2 linked regions of the Pelodiscus sinensis genome follow. The protein of the gene in region 2 interacts with the protein of the main gene of each other region in a pairwise test. Links are inferred from orthologs where the notes say so. Each region holds a gene or a part of one and is shown on either strand. Other genes may lie near its edges.

Evidence for each region.
Region 1: the proteins of CEP126 (region 2) and HMOX2 interact in a two-hybrid assay, tested with the Homo sapiens proteins (2 studies listed by BioGRID and IntAct). The link is inferred for Pelodiscus sinensis from reciprocal best matches to the Homo sapiens genes CEP126 and HMOX2.

Annotation. Positions count from the first base shown.
Region 1 is NC_134726.1:3,838,079-3,846,032, forward strand, and holds the start of HMOX2 (heme oxygenase 2), read left to right. Parts: upstream 1-4,948; 5' UTR 4,949-5,102; intron 5,103-7,954.
Region 2 is NC_134711.1:304,296,462-304,303,392, reverse strand, and holds the start of CEP126 (centrosomal protein of 126 kDa), read right to left. Parts: upstream 3,019-6,931; coding exon 2,861-3,018; intron 31-2,860; exon of another isoform or gene 29-30; coding exon of another isoform or gene 21-28; coding exon 1-20. Other genes in the region: ANGPTL5 (angiopoietin-related protein 5), read left to right, coding at 3,041-3,202. UniProt on the Homo sapiens protein: Participates in cytokinesis. Necessary for microtubules and mitotic spindle organization. Involved in primary cilium formation.

The DNA of each region.
Region 1 (7,954 bases), on a different chromosome or scaffold from region 2:
TTAGTTCTTCCTGGAAGGATCCATCATCCACCCTACGTTTAGCAATGAGAAACTTCACCTCTAGCATTAGACCCTCGCTTGTGGAGTTCCATAAGACTCAACAGTGCCATGCAACAAGGTAGGCTAGCAGAGCACAAGGAATTTGGGACTACTCGGCATATGCGTAAATCGGAAACTGATTTTATTCAGGGTCAGAGAACCCAGATCTTCACTTCACAAGCCTGCAGGTGCCTGCAGGAACCAAGAACCTGGGAAATTCAGGGGGTGATTAATGCTGCTCCATTTGCTCTGCTGCTTTCCCCCGATCATCTGAACTGCATAACCACAGCAGTTCCAGCATCATTCCTCTTGGCTCCTTTGCAGTCAGCAAGGCTAGAAATGCACTTATTTCTTTGAGTAAAAGCTAAGAGATTTTGCCAATGCTGACAGTGTTGGGAAATCGTATCAGTGGAGTTTTGCCAGGCGTCCTTAACTTGAAAGGCAGAGTCTCGAGAAACAATTTAAACCTACTTACAAAAATGAGAACGTGAGCCAACTTCATTTAAACCCTTCAGTTCATATTACAATACTGTTTTAATCCCAGTGCGGGAAGAACCTGGCCTTTGTTTGCTCGGTAGCATAATCTCAGCCACACACACACCCTTCAGTCTAGTCTGTGAATGAAACCATCACTCTGTAGCTAAGCCTTGAGGCATTGAGCCCATTCAGCTCCCATCTTCAGGATCATTCCCATCTGCCGTGGAATCTTCTGATCCCAGCATTCCACCATTCTCCCATTCATAGATTCCAGGACGAGAAGAGACTGCTGTGATCGTTCAGTCTGGGCTTTTGTATAGCACAGGGCTTGAAACGTCCCCAAAATAACTCCTCGAGCAAAGCTTTTAGAAAAACAGACCATCTTTATTTGAAAAATTGCCAGCAATGGATACGCTACCGTGACTGCTGGTAAATTGTTCCGATGGCTAATTACCCTCACTTAGAAATGTACGCCTTATTGTCCAGGCTGAATGTGCAGCAGGCACAGCTGGGGGAAGAGTGCATGTCCCTTGTCTGGGGGACAGACAAACTCTCTGAAATATATAGTATATAGTAGATAGCTGGCCCTTTCTTCACCCCTGCGCCCTGCTGGCCCAATGAGGGTATAGCTAGCCTGGTCCCCATCTGGCTCCTTGCTGCCCCATCCCTGCCAGTAGTCATTCTACACGAGCCCTTTCCTTTTCCACATTATAGAAAACAATCAGATTCTAGGCACATCCCATTGTCCTGGCACAACCAACCCCTGACCTTGCTTTAAGTTATGATAAGAGGAAGTTGGCTACCGAATTTGGTGGTCCTAGCTCTTACCCTTTAGGAGGAGTTCTTGAACAAAGGGACTCAGACAGATGGACAGGCTGACAGACGCACATTTCTAAAATATATAGTAAGATTATATATCAGGGAGGCCACTCCAAGAATTTGGTAAGTGGTCAAGGGCCACTCTCTTCCATGATATTAATGGGGGAGATGTGAGATCTGGGAGGGAATTTGGGTGAAGGAGTGGGTTGTGAGTTGGGGCATGAGTATATAAGGGGGTGCAGGGATTTGGGGTATGATCTGGGGCAGGAAACTGAGGTACAGGAGGAGGTGTCAGGTCTGGGAGGGGGTATAGGTGCAGGAGAGCATTCTGCTCTGGAGGAGGGGTAGAGGTCAGGGCACAGGGCATGGGAGGGTGTTGTAACCTGGGGCAGAATGCAGTGGTTTAGGTGGTGACCTAGGATAGGAGGGGCTTGTGACCTGAGCCAGGGGATTGGCATGCAGGGTCTAGGAGGAGATATGGGTGAAGAAGCATGATTGTGAACTGAGTTAGGGATGCAGGTGAGAGGACAGAGGGTTGGGAGGAGGGTGTGGGTGGAGTGCCAGGTGCAGGCTCTGCCTGGGAGGTGCTTACCTTAGGCGGCTCCCAGCCATCAGCCCAGTGGAAGCCTCAGGCAGGCTCCCTGCTTGCCGCAGCCCCACATACCATTCAGAGTGGCCAACTGCAGGGGCCATGTGCTCTCTGTGTGTTGCACTCTCCTGGGGGAGGGACGGGGACTTCCACATGCTACCTTACAGGGAAACTAAGACAGGAATCCATGTTCTCAGGCTCAGGTTAGATGCCCCAGTTAGTCAATGAGTCCGGAATTTATTTAGCGCAGTTCAGTTCAGAGCAGCAGCTTATCCATGAGTGAAGGATATGAAAGCTGCATCCAACACAAAGGGTGGCAGGTGGCACTGAGAAACTGAGCAGCAGAACAAGTAAAACAGCAAATCCTTCTCTGTGTCTAATTCAGGAGTTCTCAACCTTCACCATCGTGGGAACCACCCCTTACTAAAGAGTGTCTTGTGGGCATTTCCCTCCAGTCATGACTGCCAACCTCCTATTTATGACTGCTTGCCCATCTCCTTTCCTTCCTCCCCCCTCTGTTTGCTTGCAGACTGATTTCCTTGTCATTCACCATCATATATCTTCTCCATGGCAACTGAAGCAATTTCTTACAAATCACATTCAGTGTTTTAGTATTTGTCATTTCCTTTAATGGAAAAGAACAGCGGGAAAAAAAGAAGAACCAGCAACATGCGGCCAAACAGCTTTCTGCGGTTGCCCTAAAAGGGCCAGAGTTTGTGACCTATTGTTTTAATTTAAGATTGTGGGGAGAGACTTTTCCTTGGGAGGCCGAGGAGGAGCTTGGGAGAGGAATTATTCTTCCAGGAGCCTGAGAAGCATGGGTCAAGAAATTCACTAAGGACAGAGGATTACAGAAATATCCAAAACACAAAACCTGCTAGCAATGGGGGATCTCTTGGAAATGTAATACGGCAAAACACAAAATGTCCATTAAGTTCTTGGAAGGTATTGTAGACAACTTTATCTTCCAAGACAAGACAACTTGTTCCAGGAAATGGAGGAAATAACTGGGGGACAGCTGTTTTTGACTTGATTCTCATGAATACGAAAGACTTGATAGGAAGCTGAAGGTGGAAGACAGTTTGGGTGAAAGCGACCATGAAATGATAGATTTCATGATTCTAAGGAAAGGAAGGAGTGAGAGCAACAGAATCAGGACAATGGATTTCAAAAAAGCAAATTCACTCGAAGTACTGGTAGATAAAGCCAGATGGGAAGAAAATTCTAAGGCCATGTCTTCACTGGGGGAAGATTGATGGTGCCATGATTGATCTTCCGGAATTCCATTTAGTGGATCTAGTAAAGGCCCGCTAAATCAAACTCAGAGAGTGCCCCTGTCATAGGTCCTCACCTTGCTCTTGTGGGGAGTAAGGGAAGCCAGTGGGGGAGTTTGCTCCCATCAGCTTCCTGCTGTGGGAACAAGGGGAAACTCTAATTAAGGCATGTCAACTCCAGCTATGTAATTAACAGTGCTGGAGTAGCATATCTTAATTTAACCTTCCTCTTTATTGTAGACATGGCCTAAGGGAAAGAGGAGTGTAAGTCATCGAGCTTGTTCTCAAGGAGACAATGTTAAAGGCACAACTGCAAATTATCCTTCTGAAAGGAAAGATAGGAAGATTATTAAGAGGCCAATATGGTTCCAACAGGAGCTCTTTAAAGACCCACAAATCAAAAAGGAATTTTACAAAAAGTGGAAACGTGGACAAATCACTAAGCAGGTATACAAAAGAATAGTACAAACCTGTAGGAACAAACTCAGAAAGGCTAAGGCACAAAATGAGTTAACTTAGCAAGGGTCAGCAAAGGTAATAAGTTTTTAAAATACACTAGGAGCAAGAGAAAGAGAAAGTGTAGGTTACTTTTCTTATGAGGAAATGAGTGAGCTATTTATTACCTATCTTGCTTTAATCTTAACCAAAGTGGTCAATGGTGACCCACTGAATAGAATTAATATTAACAAAAAAGGGAAAGATTAGGATAGGAATAGTTAGATAATTTAGAGTACTTAAGTCAGCAGGTCCTAATGACATGCATCCTAGGGTACTTAAGGAACTAGCTGAAGCAATTGCAGAATTGTTTGAGAACTCGTGCAGGATAGGTGAGGTCCCAGAAGAGGTAATGCCTACTTTTAAAAGGGGTGATAAACGAGGACCCAGGGAATTATAAACAGTCAGCCTAACTTTGATACTAAGCTATTGAAAACGATCAACTTATAAGCACCTGGAAAAGAATGGGCTTATAAGGACTTTCTGTCGTGGATTTGTGAGACCAAATCGTTCCCTATCAATCTGATTTCCTTTGTTGACTGAGAGTGCGGGGGGGGGGGGGGGGGCAGAGGGTGGGGTGATCTGGGGCTAGGAGAAGGGGCAGGATGGGAGGTGCGTGGATGGGTGCGATTGGAGGGTCAGTGAGTCTAGTCTATTGCCTAGCGCGGGGCGGGGGGAGTCTGGCAGGCCCTGGGGCGCTCAGTGCTGGTGACAGACAGGATGGGACACAGGGGCTACGTCTAGACTGGCATGATTTTCCAGAAATGCTTTTAATGGAAAAGTTTTCCGTTAAAAGCATTTTCGGAACAGAGCGTCTAGATGGGCACGGACAATTTTCCGCAAAAGCACTTTTTGCGGAAAAGCATCTGTGGCCAATCTAGATGCGCTTTTGTGGAAAACAAATCTCAGCTGTCTACACTGGCCCTTTGGCACAAAACTTTTGCGCAAAGGGGACTTTTGCCCGAAGGGAGCAGCGTAGCATTTCTGCAAGAAGCGCTGATTTCGGACAGTAGGAAGTCAGGGCTCTTGCGGGAATTCAAGCGGCCAGTGTAGGCAGCTGGGAAGATTTTCCAGAGAAGCGGCTGATTTTCCGGAAAAACGGGCCAGTCTAGACACAGCCCCTGAGGGTGTTGCAGGAGCCAGGGACCCAACCCCCAGTGGGAGCGCAGGAGCCGCCAAGGGAGCGGAGGGAGCAGGAGGCTGCGCACCACGACCTGTGGGCGGGGCCTCTGCAAAGGGGTGGGCACTGTTACGTCACCGCGCCGATCACGTCAGCCTGGGCTGAAGGACAGAGAAGCGCGGCGCTGCCCCGCCCGCACATGAATAATTAATCCCCGCCGGAGGCTTTTGTCCCGCCCCTTTCAGCAGCCAGGGCAGCTGCGGCGCCGAGGGGAGCTGTTGCCGAGCGGGTGAGCGCGCGGGAGGGACTAGCCCTGAGGGGGCGCGGACCCCCTGCCGGCCGGGTGGGCGCGCGGCCGCGGGAGCCGCCTCGGGCAGGGGCGGGCGGCCCGGGGAGCGAGGGGCCGCGGAGCCGTAGCCCTGGCAACGGGCGTTGAGCCGGGCGCGAGCGCGGGGGCCGGGCCGGGGTGGGGCGCGCGCGGGTGGACGGGGCGGGCCCGGCGGGGTCCGCGCCCGAGGCCTCGTGTCACGGCCGCCCTGGCCGGGTGCAGCCGTTCCCGCCTGCTCCCCTCGCCCCTCCTTCAGCTTCGGTCTCCTCCCGCTGGGCCCGCCTGTGCTGGGCCGGGCTCCGCCCTTCCCTTGCTGCCCCGGGGCCCGGCAGCTGCTGCTACTCCCGGAGCCCGGCAAGTTTCGGGTGGCCGCAGTGTGGTCCGGGTGGCGCTGGGGTCTGGCTCTCCCCGTGCAGCCCCTGCCCCTCCCCGCCGTATTGCGCAAGGGCCCAGCAGTCCCCTTGCCCCCCATCTAGCTACTCTGTGTCGATCACTGGCCGACCCGCAGCGTCCTCCTCGTTAAGCTTATTGCTTAAATCATTCTGGTTAGGAACACAATAGAGCCTGTGCATGAGCGTATCTTTAAGAATAGAGCATACTTGTGTGACTGGAGGTCTCAGGCTAATTTCAGTGTTGCGTGTCTGGAGCTGGGTGTAAAAGGAACTGATGGGCTTGCTAAAAATTCTTCGTGGTAACGGGAGTGCGTTGCAAACAAGCAAGCAAATGTTTGACAAGTATTATGCGTGGATGAGTAACTGCATTACTGAAGCACAGAATTATAGGACTGGAAGGGATCTCAGTAGTTCACTCCCCTGCACTCAGGACTAAGTATTATCTAGACCAGCGTTTCCTCAAACTGTGGGTCCTGATATCCCATGGGGTCGTGAGCAACTTAGAGGGAGATTGCAAACAATTTAGAGGGGGGTTGCGGTATCATAAGTTTGAGAACCTCTGATCTAGACCATACCTGGTATGTGTTTGGGGTTTTAAGAGTAGGTAAGATGATGCAGATTTTGCAACTTCTTTAGGTAATTTATTCCAATGTTTAAATACCCTAATGGGAAGCTTTTCCTAATGTCCATCCTAAACTGCCCTTGCTGCAGTTTAAGCCTGTTGCTTCTTGTCCTATCCTCAGTGGTTAAGGAGAACAATATTTCTCCCTCCTCCTTATAACAACTTTCTCCAGATTACATAGCATTTTCTTAAGGAAGGAACTGTTTGTGTTGAGAAGACAGATTAGATGACTTTGTAAAGGGCCATATCACTGTAAGTAGAAATACCCAGAAAACACACTACCTGCTTTCTTATGGTATAAATGACTCATAAATGACTTGGTATTTTTATCTTTCTCTGTAAACAGTTTTATAAAAATGTACTAAAGAAATGGAGCCAATCGGAGCAGAGGCAGCAGGGCACTAGAAATATATTTAATCTGCTAACCATGGTAATCCATTAACAAGACACAAACAATATGTTACTCTTTTCTACATGCCTTATTTCTGGAAATCACTCAGGAAAATCTGCAGTCTTCTCACTCCAATGAAATTGGTTGGTACAACAGACTATGCCAGGCCTAGTTACATTTCTAATATGCCAGTGCATCAATCATAATGAAAACTGCTTGAACAGTGGTTAATTGATCCAGTGAGCCATAATTTGTGACCTAGCAGAGACAGAGATTTTCCTAAAGTAAATGTCAAAAAACTGCTGCTGGGAATTTAGTTTCCTCAATAGGTTCCTTCTGTTGTCTAGTCAAACCACAGGATATACTTGGACAATTTCAAAATAAACCAATAATGTGATTTTTTTTTTTTAATCGAAAGATCTTCAGTTTTCCCGTATGTCAGCATTTCCTTGTAGTATCACAATTCATAGATGTACTGCTTTTTGCTGCCCACCGGATACCTCTTCCGCTTAACTCCAGCTGACTCCTGAAGAAACTGACTGCTGTACTAGAAGTATTGTCTCTGGAATATCTTCATTCTGAAATCAGTTATAGGCATACACCTCTGAATTTATCTAGTTGGCTTGCTGTTTTTTTGAATTGTTTAGTGTTGGGCTTACTAAGTGTCTTGTTCAACCAGATGATTAACAGTTTACTCCTCTACCATTTAGGAATCAAAGATAATCTCTTGCTTGTACTGAGATAAGGAAGCATCCATCCCAGATGTGTTCCTTCCTGCAATCTTGAAAAGAAGATGGGAAGGTTCACAAATATCTACTCTTAGCAATCACAGGAAATCTCCCACCTGTTCCCAACAAATGTGAACAATAAAACTAAAAGATCATGTCCCTGCTTCATCAGATCCAGTTTCCTGCTTTTGGCTATGGACATACATTATTGTATGTTTAATTGAAAAGTGTCATACAGGTAGTCCCTAAGCTACAAATGCATCGATTTACGACCGTTCAGCCTTACAACCAACCTCCCATTAAGCATGTCCCCGAGTTACGAACACACAATCCGCGCTTAAGAACAGCGCAGTTACATGTAATTGAATGGGGTCCGACTTACAAACAGATCGAGTTACAACCAAGTGCTTGGTATGTAACTCGTTTGTAAGTTGGGGACTATCTGTACTCCTATAACGTACTTGGTCAAATGCAGCATGGCACATGAGCTTGGAGACACAATCATGTGAGGGACTACGTTCTAGCTGCCACAGTGGAGTGACAGTAACATGGAGGATGTTCCATGATATCATGGAAAGCCTACTCTCATCCATTTTTCCCCCTTCCATTAAAAAGCTCTTCTGCCCTCTTATACCCTGTATTTTCAAAAGAGACGTGGAACTAAATTTTCTATGGCAAGT
Region 2 (6,931 bases):
CAAGAAGAAATTTCAAAGTTCTGACCATGACTTTATGTTAAGGACAAATATATATATACATATAAAATCCTTGAAATTTCTATTTAGTATTCTTATTAAGTTTTAGACTGATTGCAAATGAATTTGCAGTCTTAGCCACAGATATAAAATTATACTCGTCATGGACATAATAACCTATTTGCATGGATTCTTTTACATGACTTGAGCGTTATGGACTTTTTTGAGAATATGTAATCGTTATCCATAACTAAACTAAAAATGATAATTCTTCAAATTAGGCAATGGCTTATCATAAAGATATAATTTTAAATAAGGTACTGTCTTAATATACATACATTAAGAATGCAATTCCATCTCTCAATTTCTATCACTCAGGCTTTGCACTCTTGGTTTATGATGGTACCACACAGAATTATAGTTTTTCTATTTAGAGCTGAGGATACATCATTCTTTATGATCTGATCTACCAAATAGCAAGGTTATCAAATGGAAAATATTTCTTAAAATAAAATTTAAAACCTCCAAAATGATAATTGTTTAATCTGTAATGTAATGAGTAATTACAATTCAAAATTCTTCAATATCTTGCTTAAAATACATACATATACAGTTACTGTCAAGCAGGATCCAATATTTGCCTTGTCTTAACACAGCGTCTGTTAGTTTCTTTTGGTTTAGAGACTGGGTGTTTCTCTTTGTCTTTTTAAAACCAAACATGCCACCACTTAACAAAAATAAATAATAATCAGGGCTCACCAAGTGGTGGCGAGCCCTGCTCGCCAGCCGTGCGGTTCTGCGAGCTGCGCATGCACAGATTGCGCTGCACATGGGCAGATCGAGTGGTGCTGGCTGTGCCAGCTTGTAATCTACTCGCCATAGGCAAGTAGATTACACAATTTGTCGAGCCCTGATAATAATAATAAATCATAATAATATTTAATCAGATATTTCCCTTATGCTTAGCTATTATAGCAATAGGTGCAGCAGAAATACAATTACTAGGCACATAGGTAATACAGAGTCTTAGAGGGGTAGTTGTGTTAGTCTGTAACTAATAACAGTTAAAAAAACAACACTGGTCCTGAAGCAAGTAAGGGTATGTCTACACTACCCCGCTATTTTGAACTAGCAGGGTAATGTAGGCATACCGCAATTGCAAATGAAGCCCGGGATTTGAATTTCCCGGGCTTCATTTGCATAAGCCGGGCGCCGCCATTTTTAAATCCCGGCTGGTTCGAACCCCGTGCCGCGCGGCTACACGCGGCACGAACTAGGTTGTTCGAACTAGGCTTCCTAGTTCGAACTACCGTTACTCCTCGTGGAATGAGCAGTCAATGGAATTTCCATCAACTACATGATTAGTCAATAAGGGGTAGATGTGGCGCTCGCTATCCCAGCTGCACCGCTGCATTTTAAATGTAATGAGAGATGCCTGTGGCTCTTACTACATTTAAAAGGCAGAGGCGGAGCACGGAACTGTGGCCCTTTTGCCTTTGAAATGTAACAAAAGTCCCGGCGGGCTTTTCCTGCTACATTTCAAAGGCAGAGGCATATCAGTTGGGACCTGGTGCGAGCGGGGACTGCTTGGCTATGTCTGTATTGGAAGATTCTTGCACAAGAACTGCCATTCTTGTGCAAGAACCCGCAGAGCATCCACACTGCTCGCCCGCTCTTGCACAAGAAGATTTACAGTACAGCATTGGAAGACAGGGCTTCTTGCACAAGAGCTACACTCACTCTTTTCTAACAAGTGTAAGCCCTCTTGCACAAGAGCTGGTACAGAGGCAGCAGGGGGAGGGAGGGGAGGAGTGAGGAAGCGAGTACTCAAGTAGTGACTCGACTACCAGATAAGTATCCCTAGGGTACAACCCACTTCTTATATGCCATCTGAAGAAGTGAGTTGTGCCCACGAAAACTCATATACTATTTATATATTTTTGTTATTCTCTAAGGTGCTACAGGACCAATGTTGTTTTTTTACAGAGAACAGGGAAACAAATTTTTCAGCCTGGTCTACCCTGGGGGCAATGTCAAAATAAGGAATGCAACTCCAGCAACGTGACTAGCATAATTGGAGTCAACATACATTAGTTCAAGTTTCTAAGGCATCGCCACTACTGGGGGTCGATGGGAGAAACTCCTCCTTTAGCTTCCTTTACTCTTTTCACTCCAGTGGAGTACCCAAGTCAACAGGACTGCAATCAGTGGTCGATTTAGCTGGCCTTTAGAATTTTGGTCTGACCCAGCATGGCTGTTCTTATTAAAGGAGTTCCAAAAACAGAAAAAAAGTTCAGTCCCCACACGGTTTTAGATACTTTTATTCTCTTTGATGTTAAAAGGCTAAATCTAAAAAAAGGATATTTTATGCCAATGTATCTTCTGTAATATTACAATATATTGATGCAAGATGGTCAAAATTATCTCTTCTAGCTTCCAAATCCAATAATAACCCTATGTTGCCACCATACTGGAGGCCCTCACAGGGACTGGGTATGTGGGGTACCCTAACAATGCCTCTTCCTATAAAACCACTCAGGAAGATAAGCTCATCCATTGGGCCAACCCCATCCACATCAAAATATGAGGGCAACTGAATGATCCATGCAGGGGTGGCACTCCCACCTATTCCTGAGGCAGCCACCTTGTGGGACAGCTAATTGCACATCCCCAGTGAGCTGCCCCACGGGGCCTGCCCTCCTATCCCAGCCTCCCTCCTCCCAGGGCCCATTCCGCGCACCTCCTCTCCTTCTTTCCCAGACATCCTGTCACTGGGGCTTGTCTCCCCCTTTTCCAACACTCCCGGGGGTGCCGCCTGCCCTGCCCCCGCAGAGCCCCGCTGCCTTGCACCCGCGAAGGATACGCGCACGCGCTGCCCGCGAAGGTGCCGCCGTGGCACTGAGGCGCGCAGTCCGGAGCCGGGCGAAAGAGGCTCCTCCAGCCGGACCCGCCCGGCGCAGCAGAGCCCGGCTCCCACTGTGCGGGGCTGACGCCCCCCGCGCCCCTCACGCCGGGCTCCATTCAGCCCCGCCGGACCGCCCCCATGCCGGTCCCTGCCTGCCTGCTGGGTCAGGGCTGGGCGGGGGCGCCCATCGCTCTGCGGCTCGGCCGCCCTGCCGCCATCTTGGCAACCACGGACGCCGCTTCCTTCGCAACGGAAACCAGGGGCAACGCGAGGGGAGAGAGAGGAACTGGGGCACCGTCGGCAAGGGAGACGGGGGCGGGGCCTACGTGGGGGAGGAGCCTGGGGCCGGGACGGGAGAAGCGCCTGGGAGACAGGGATGAGCCAGGGAAGGGGGCGGGGCTGGGAGTTGCGGAGAGAAGTATGTGAGGAGCAGGTTGCTCCTCCCACCGGCTCAAAAGCCTTGAGCTCACCATCCAAAAACAAACAGGTTTTTAAAAAAATACTCACCCGGGGATCTTTTTATTTAGAAAAAAAGAAAAGAAAACAAACCGGAAAGCTGAATATCATATGAAGTCACATGACTCTTGGGATTGGAGCTTTACAAAAAACACCAAACACAGGAGGACACATTCATAGATAAAGGTTCACCGTTTTGCCAACTCACAATTGTATTACAAATCTTGTGATGTTTGTTGGTCTTCTTAAAGCTCCACCTCAAAGACTAGCTAGTGTGGCCAACTTTCTAATGATTCTAAACCAAACATCCTTGGCCTGCCCCCTGTCTTGCCCATTCCTCAAGGACCCAACCCTGCCCTACTCCTCCAAGGCCCCCCCACTCCTCTCAGGGAGATATAGGGTGGGCACTAACAGTTGTGTGCCCCCTGAATGCCACTGGGGGTAGAGCCAAGGGGCCAGCAGCCAGAGACATCCTGTCCTAAAGACAGTTCATCTAACTTTGAGGGGCTCCACACTGTGCATGGGACTAGCAGGTGGTGGGAAGCAGATCTCCACCTCCCTCTGCTTCCCACAGCTGGTGAGTGCAGAGGGCAGTTCCTCCACTTTCCTTAAGCCCTGTTCCCCAGGGATGAAGATTAGCAGGGGGCCTGACACTGGAAGCAGCGATTGGGTCCCCCAATACTTAATGGCAGTGGCGGGAAGCAGAATGACCCAGCCCTAGCCTGCTCTGCTCCCCTGACCCCTAGCTGTGTCGCTGGGAAAGGAACTTGGTTGAACTGATGGCACCTCCCTTTGCACTCACCAGTGGCAGAGAAGTGGAGCAATGTGACTTAGAGCCAAAGGAACAGAGTGGGCTTGTGTCGGATTGCTTCTCCACTGTGGAGTACAGGGCAAAAGCTGACTGCTGCTGTTGGTGCCAAATCCCCCATTTTGCCCCCTGGGCCATGTTGTTCAGCGGGGGGGGGGGAGAGAAAAGGGTGAGCTTGAGGAAAGAGTGGATTAGAGGAAGAGAGAGGGTGGAGCAGGGATGGGGAGGGGTGGAGCACAAGGTTGGGGAAAGGATGGAGTGGATGTGGGATGGGGATGGGAAGAAGTTGGGCCCTCCCCAGTAGGGATGTAAGTGAGTAGTCAACTATTCGACTACTCGCTTCCCTCCCTGCTGCTGCTTTTGTATCAGAGGCAGCAAGGGGAGAGGGGAATGGACCCAGTGCTGGGGGGATCCAGCTTAAAAGTTGGTTCCCCCAGCACCGTCTCTGTGGTGCCACTTGCCCCATGCCACTGTCTCTATCAGGCATGAGCTGGGACAGAGCCAGGACCATTGTGTCTCTACATTTTAAATGTAGTAAGAGCCACAGCGGTCCCAGACTGACCCCAGCCACAACTGAGCTAGACTTGTTTGGTTTTGGCTTGCACCAGCTCCAGCAGAAGCCCCTGTTCATGGCGGTCCAGGTTGGCCTCAGGCAGAGACTGCTCCAGCAGCAGTCCCTGTCCACACCCTGCTTGGACCCCCTGCAGATAGGGGCTGCTGCACCTGGTGAGAGCCAGGACCAAGCAAATCTGGCTCAGTCCTGGCTCTCAATGGTCTGGGACCTACCTCCCCTGCGGCTCTGCAGTTTAAATGTAGTAGGAGACAGGCTGCCTGCACGCCCAGTTTCTACTACATTTAAACTGCAGAGCTACAGCAGGGGTAGCTCCTGGACCAGTGCAAGCCAGCACAGAGCCCTTCTCTTATAGACATATTGTGTGGTGGATACAAATTGTATCGACTGCACAATTAGTCAATAACTCATCTCTTAGCATACCTACCCATTCTAATAGTGGCATGGGGGAGCAGTCATATGGGGGCAGTCACATGGCCAGCGGTCTTGAGTCCCTCCTTAGCAGTCACCAGTAGGTGCAGGGAGTGTTTCGAGCTAGGGTAGGGATTTGGACTCCGAGAGGGAGTTTGGGTGTGGAAGGGAGCTCAGAGCTGGTGTAACCCACATACCTAGTTTGGGTCTCTGTCCCATGAAGTGGCACCTAGACCACAGCAACAAATAAAAACAAGAGACCTCTACAGTATAGCTGAAAGGGTAGAGGCTCCTATACTAAGCTTCCCAGGTTCAAATCTATCTGGTGACAGTTACACTGGGACAAGAGAGTTGGGGTGCACAAGAGCATAAAATGGCCATACTGGGTCAGACCAAAGATCCATCTAGCCTAGTATCCTGTCTTTCCACAGACAACCAAGGAAAGGTGCTGTAGAGAGAATGAAAAGAACAGATATTCACTGAGTTGCTTGTTCCCAGCACCTGGGAAACAGAGGCAAGGGTCACCATCCCTATCCATCCTCACTTACAGCCATTGATGGACCTATCCTTCACGAATTTATTTAGTTCTTTTTTGAACCCTATCATAGTCTTGGCCTTCACAACATCCTCTGGCCAAAATTCCGTACGTTGACTGCACATTGTGTGATAATATATTTCCTTTTGTTTGTTTTAAACTTGCTGTTTATTCATTTTATTTGGTGACCCCTAGCTTTTGTGTTATGAGGAGGAGTAAATAGCTCTTCCCTGTTTACTTTCTCTACACTGGTCATGATTTTATAGATCTTTAGTGATATCCCCGCTTAATTGTCTCTTTTCCTAGCTGAAAAGTGCCAGTTTTATTAATCTCTCCTCATAATATAGAAGCCATTCCATATCTCGAATCATTTTTGTTGTCCTTTTCTGAACCTTTTCCAATTCCACTATATACTTTTTGAGATAGGGCAATCACATATGCACAAGCTGTGGATGTACCATGGATTTATATAGAGCAAATATGATATTTTCTGTTTTATTATCTATCTCTTTGTTAATGATTCCCAACATTCTGTTCACTCTTTTGACTATCACTGCACATCAAGTAGATGTTTTCAGAGATCTATCCGCAACGACTCCAAGATGTCTTTCTTGAGTAATAACAGCTAATTTAGACACCATCATTTTATTTGTATAGTTAGGATTATGTTTTCCCATGTGGACTATTTTGCATTTATAAACATTACATTTCATCTACCATTTGGTTGCCTAGTCACCCAGTTTTGAGAGATTCTTTTGCCAACCAGCTCTTAATACATTTAAAAAGCAGAGTCGCAGCATCTGGGACTGGGCACGAGCCGGGAATCAGTAGAGATGTTTTACGTAGAGAAAGCTCATAGAGTTCACTCTCTTTATCAGTGAAAGAGAAATATGCACAGCTGTTCTCCACAAGTAACAATTATTTATACTGGGCTTGACAATAAATGTATTTTATTAAGTATAAAAAATAGGATTTAAGTGGTTGCAAGTGATGACAGACAGATCAAAGTGAGATACTAAGTCAAAATATACAAAACATGCCAGCTAAGACTAATACACGAAGAGATATTGTAACATATCATATTTTCTCACACTAGTCCTTATTTCAGGTAAAGTCCTTCAGGACAGAGCAGATCTTTTCTCTGACTTGGACCCAGCTGCTTCTCTCCCTTTGTTTCCAGGTCTCTTCATATGTCCTTTTGTGATGGGGATCATTCTGTGAAGCCAGCTGAAGACCATCATTGTTTGC